Saccharomyces cerevisiae S288C: one gene and its partner. The protein of the gene in region 1 purifies or fractionates together with the protein of each later gene. This does not show direct contact. Each region holds a gene or a part of one and is shown on either strand. Other genes may lie near its edges.

Evidence for each region. Proteins that work in one complex are often made in the same cells at the same time.
Region 2: the proteins of TDH2 (region 1) and GPM1 purify together in Saccharomyces cerevisiae (affinity purification with mass spectrometry; 2 studies listed by BioGRID, with this or other methods). This does not show direct contact.

Annotation. Positions count from the first base shown.
Region 1 is NC_001142.9:453,104-456,357, forward strand, and holds TDH2 (glyceraldehyde-3-phosphate dehydrogenase (phosphorylating) TDH2), read right to left. Parts: upstream 1,579-3,254; coding exon 580-1,578; downstream 1-579. Other genes in the region: MHO1 (Mho1p), read left to right, coding at 1-343; MET3 (sulfate adenylyltransferase), read left to right, coding at 3,136-3,254. UniProt on the Saccharomyces cerevisiae protein: Glyceraldehyde-3-phosphate dehydrogenase (GAPDH) involved in glycolysis and gluconeogenesis. Catalyzes the reaction of glyceraldehyde-3-phosphate to 1,3 bis-phosphoglycerate.
Region 2 is NC_001143.9:163,063-165,985, reverse strand, and holds GPM1 (phosphoglycerate mutase GPM1), read left to right. Parts: upstream 1-1,600; coding exon 1,601-2,344; downstream 2,345-2,923. Other genes in the region: NNR2 (NADHX dehydratase), read left to right, coding at 56-1,069. UniProt on the Saccharomyces cerevisiae protein: Interconversion of 3- and 2-phosphoglycerate with 2,3-bisphosphoglycerate as the primer of the reaction. Can also catalyze the reaction of EC 5.4.2.4 (synthase), but with a reduced activity.

The sequences.
Region 1 (3,254 bases):
GGAAACAGAAGTGGAAATGTTAACTGCTAGGAGTAAACTTTCACATCATCAAGTTCCCATTTGGCAATCCATTGAAATAATGGACAGATATGCGATGAAAACGCTAAGTGATACTCCAAATGGTGAAAGGTACGATGCTTGGAAACAATACTTGGAAATCACCGGAAACACCATATGCGGCGAAAAGCCAATTAGTGTGATACTAAGTGCTTTATCGAAAATCCGTGATGCCGGTCCTTCAGGCATCAAATTTCAGTGGCCTAATTATTCACAGAGTTCTCATGTGACAAGTATTGATGATAGTAGTGTCAGTTATGCTTCAGGTTATGTTACTATAGGATAATGATCACGGCTAAAACGGTCGAATGTAAGCATATATCTTTCGATTGTATAATTGTTCCCAAATACTACAGCATCTCAAGGAAAAAAAAACAAAAACTTCCAAAAAAATCGAATCCCTGAGGAATCTTTAATACATTTTCAATCTATTTAAGTTTTATAAACGTGTATATGAGATGTCATGAGCATGAATTATTAATAATAAAAACTAAATCATTAAAGTAACTTAAGGAGTTAAATTTAAGCCTTGGCAACGTGTTCAACCAAGTCGACAACTCTGGTAGAGTAACCGTATTCGTTGTCGTACCAGGAAACCAACTTGACGAACTTTGGAGACAATTGGATACCAGCGGCAGCATCGAAGATGGAAGAGTTAGAGTCACCCAAGAAGTCAGAGGAGACAACAGCGTCTTCAGTGTAACCCAAGACACCCTTCAACTTACCTTCAGCGGCAGCCTTGACAACCTTCTTGATTTCATCGTAGGTGGTTTCCTTGTTCAACTTGACAGTCAAGTCAACAACGGAAACATCGACGGTTGGGACTCTGAAAGCCATACCGGTCAACTTACCTTGCAATTCTGGCAAGACCTTACCGACAGCCTTAGCAGCACCGGTAGAGGATGGGATGATGTTACCGGAAGCGGTTCTACCACCTCTCCAGTCCTTGTGGGATGGACCGTCAACAGTCTTTTGGGTGGCGGTCATGGAGTGAACAGTGGTCATCAAACCTTCTTCAATACCGAAAGCATCGTTGATAACCTTGGCCAATGGAGCCAAACAGTTGGTGGTACAAGAAGCGTTGGAAACAATCTTCAAGTCAGAAGTGTATTTTTCTTCGTTAACACCCATGACGAACATTGGGGCGGTGGAAGATGGAGCAGTGATGACAACCTTCTTGGCACCAGCGTCAATGTGCTTTTGAGCAGTGTCCAATTCCTTGAAAACACCAGTGGAGTCAATGGCGATGTCAATGTTTAGAGAAGCCCATGGCAAGTTAGCTGGGTCTCTTTCTTGGAAAGTGGCGATCTTGTGACCATCAACGATGATGTGCTTGTCATCGTGGGAAACTTCACCAGCGTATCTACCGTGAGTAGAGTCGTACTTGAACATGTAAGCGGAGTAGTCGTTAGAGATGAAAGGATCGTTCAAAGCAACAACTTCGACGTTCTTTCTTTGCAAAGCAATTCTCATAACCAATCTACCGATTCTACCGAAACCGTTAATAGCAACTCTAACCATTTTGTTTTGTTTGTTTGTGTGATGAATTTAATTTGAAACTAAGTTCTTGGTTTTTTTAACATTTAAACAAACAATAATAAAATGAATAGACACACAAGAAAAAAACTATCTTGAATGAGTGCAACCTTTATATATTCTTCCAAACCTACAAAAAAATTGCAGGTCTGCGATCACTGGGTACTATCAAAACACATATTAGCATACGTATGTGTTCGTACGTGCGGTCCGCAAGGTCTTTGTGACAGCCATGACATGATTGGATTGAATAGTTCACTTCAGCTGTCACCACCAGTTTTAGGCCCTAACACATCAGTCGAGTTCCACTAGGCTTTGTTAGCCGTAGCTGCGTTGCAACAACTGCGCAAAACGCGCGACTTCCTGTAAATGCCGCAGATCACGTGGTAAAGAAAAGAAACAACAGGCCGACCCAGTTTCGTTGTTTCTTTTCATTATTTCTGGATGCTCTTCACAACGTATTTCATGACATACTTATTGAATTAGTGGAAGCCCAAAACATCATTACCCTGGAAAACTTAATTGACGTAAATTAACTTCAGTTGTCTTATGTTTTTTGCATCCTTAACTTTAGCCGCGCAGGGATAATCATATATGTCGAAAGAGCAACTAAACAATACTTAAAAACGTGTTTGAACTTTTACGAAAGGGTAACGACAAATAATCATTCACTGGAAAAACCAATAAACCATAAGTAAATGAAAAACTGTTTCAACCGATGTTGGTACTTTCCATGTCTTAAAAGAGTACAATTTATAAATTAATGAAAACACAGAAGTATTTAGATCGGCTCAAATGTTTTTGGACATTAAAAGATCTTGAAACTGAGTAAGATGCTCAGAATACCCGTCAAGATAAGAGTATAATGTAGAGTAATATACCAAGTATTCAGCATATTCTCCTCTTCTTTTGTATAAATCACGGAAGGGATGATTTATAAGAAAAATGAATACTATTACACTTCATTTACCACCCTCTGATCTAGATTTTCCAACGATATGTACGTAGTGGTATAAGGTGAGGGGGTCCACAGATATAACATCGTTTAATTTAGTACTAACAGAGACTTTTGTCACAACTACATATAAGTGTACAAATATAGTACAGATATGACACACTTGTAGCGCCAACGCGCATCCTACGGATTGCTGACAGAAAAAAAGGTCACGTGACCAGAAAAGTCACGTGTAATTTTGTAACTCACCGCATTCTAGCGGTCCCTGTCGTGCACACTGCACTCAACACCATAAACCTTAGCAACCTCCAAAGGAAATCACCGTATAACAAAGCCACAGTTTTACAACTTAGTCTCTTATGAAGTTACTTACCAATGAGAAATAGAGGCTCTTTCTCGAGAAATATGAATATGGATATATATATATATATATATATATATATATATATATATGTAAACTTGGTTCTTTTTTAGCTTGTGATCTCTAGCTTGGGTCTCTCTCTGTCGTAACAGTTGTGATATCGTTTCTTAACAATTGAAAAGGAACTAAGAAAGTATAATAATAACAAGAATAAAGTATAATTAACATGCCTGCTCCTCACGGTGGTATTCTACAAGACTTGATTGCTAGAGATGCGTTAAAGAAGAATGAATTGTTATCTGAAGCGCAATCTTCGGACATTTTAGTATGGAACTTGACTCCTAG
Region 2 (2,923 bases), on another chromosome or scaffold:
GGTGAAATTTTATTAGCAACACCAGTTCAATACGATCACTACCGTATCACTGGAAATGTTAGCAGAATTGTCTCATAGAGAATTGATAAAGTTGGCGCAGAAAAGATGTATACCACCTTTATTGCCAAAGTTTCATAAGGGACAGTCTGGTGGGAGAGTTTGCATTATTGGAGGATGCGAAGATTATACAGGGGCACCGTATTTCAGCGCCAATGCTACAGCCTTGATGGGCTGTGATTTGACACATGTCATCTGCGAATACAACGCTGGTACGGTCATTAAATCGTACACCCCAAACCTAATGGTTCATCCATACCTTCGTATGAGTAACACCAAATTAGACGTTGATATGGACGAACAAAGGAAGAAAATCAATTCCTTATTGGATAGAATCCACGTTGTGGTAATTGGACCCGGCTTGGGTAGGGACCCCCTAATGTTAAAATCCATTAAGGATATCATAAGATATATACTTGAAAAACATGAGGGCAAGATCCCGTTAGTAATTGATGCTGATGGACTGTTCTTAGTAACTCAAGATAGCGAAGTCAAAGAAATGCTGAAAAGCTACCCCAAAGGTAGAGTGATCTTGACGCCCAATGTGGTAGAATTCAAAAGACTATGTGATGCCATAGGCAAGAAGGGAGACTCTCACTCCGAGATGGGCAGCTTGATCGCCCAGGAATTGAATTGTATTGTGGTGGAGAAAGGTCAGTCAGATAAGATATTCTCACCCGATAGTGAAAAAGACATGTTGACGAACAGCGAAGAGGGCAGCAACAAGAGGGTAGGAGGCCAAGGTGATACTTTGACAGGAGCTATATCATGCATGCTTGCATTTAGTCGTGCAATGTATGACTTTAAGATTTGTGAGCAGGAAGAAAAGGGAGAATCTTCTAACGATAAACCCTTGAAAAACTGGGTAGACTACGCTATGTTGAGTTGCTACGCAGGCTGCACAATTACACGAGAATGCTCCCGCCTAGGATTTAAGGCTAAGGGACGTGCAATGCAGACGACAGATCTAAATGACCGTGTCGGTGAAGTGTTCGCCAAACTTTTCGGTTAACACATGCAGTGATGCACGCGCGATGGTGCTAAGTTACATATATATATATATATATATATATATATATATATAGCCATAGTGATGTCTAAGTAACCTTTATGGTATATTTCTTAATGTGGAAAGATACTAGCGCGCGCACCCACACACAAGCTTCGTCTTTTCTTGAAGAAAAGAGGAAGCTCGCTAAATGGGATTCCACTTTCCGTTCCCTGCCAGCTGATGGAAAAAGGTTAGTGGAACGATGAAGAATAAAAAGAGAGATCCACTGAGGTGAAATTTCAGCTGACAGCGAGTTTCATGATCGTGATGAACAATGGTAACGAGTTGTGGCTGTTGCCAGGGAGGGTGGTTCTCAACTTTTAATGTATGGCCAAATCGCTACTTGGGTTTGTTATATAACAAAGAAGAAATAATGAACTGATTCTCTTCCTCCTTCTTGTCCTTTCTTAATTCTGTTGTAATTACCTTCCTTTGTAATTTTTTTTGTAATTATTCTTCTTAATAATCCAAACAAACACACATATTACAATAATGCCAAAGTTAGTTTTAGTTAGACACGGTCAATCCGAATGGAACGAAAAGAACTTATTCACCGGTTGGGTTGATGTTAAATTGTCTGCCAAGGGTCAACAAGAAGCCGCTAGAGCCGGTGAATTGTTGAAGGAAAAGAAGGTCTACCCAGACGTCTTGTACACTTCCAAGTTGTCCAGAGCTATCCAAACTGCTAACATTGCTTTGGAAAAGGCTGACAGATTATGGATTCCAGTCAACAGATCCTGGAGATTGAACGAAAGACATTACGGTGACTTACAAGGTAAGGACAAGGCTGAAACTTTGAAGAAGTTCGGTGAAGAAAAATTCAACACCTACAGAAGATCCTTCGATGTTCCACCTCCCCCAATCGACGCTTCTTCTCCATTCTCTCAAAAGGGTGATGAAAGATACAAGTACGTTGACCCAAATGTCTTGCCAGAAACTGAATCTTTGGCTTTGGTCATTGACAGATTGTTGCCATACTGGCAAGATGTCATTGCCAAGGACTTGTTGAGTGGTAAGACCGTCATGATCGCCGCTCACGGTAACTCCTTGAGAGGTTTGGTTAAGCACTTGGAAGGTATCTCTGATGCTGACATTGCTAAGTTGAACATCCCAACTGGTATTCCATTGGTCTTCGAATTGGACGAAAACTTGAAGCCATCTAAGCCATCTTACTACTTGGACCCAGAAGCTGCCGCTGCTGGTGCCGCTGCTGTTGCCAACCAAGGTAAGAAATAAGTCTGAAGAATGAATGATTTGATGATTTCTTTTTCCCTCCATTTTTCTTACTGAATATATCAATGATATAGACTTGTATAGTTTATTATTTCAAATTAAGTAGCTATATATAGTCAAGATAACGTTTGTTTGACACGATTACATTATTCGTCGACATCTTTTTTCAGCCTGTCGTGGTAGCAATTTGAGGAGTATTATTAATTGAATAGGTTCATTTTGCGCTCGCATAAACAGTTTTCGTCAGGGACAGTATGTTGGAATGAGTGGTAATTAATGGTGACATGACATGTTATAGCAATAACCTTGATGTTTACATCGTAGTTTAATGTACACCCCGCGAATTCGTTCAAGTAGGAGTGCACCAATTGCAAAGGGAAAAGCTGAATGGGCAGTTCGAATAGTACTTAAGATTAGTTAAAAGTCCATGATTGAACATTGATGTGGTAGTTACATGCATGATGAATATGCGCCATGAGAGGTTGGTGAATTTTGAGATAATTGTTGGGATTCCAATGTTGATAAAGGCTGTTATATTATGTATACAGAATATACTGGAAGTGTCTCCTCGAGGATATAGGC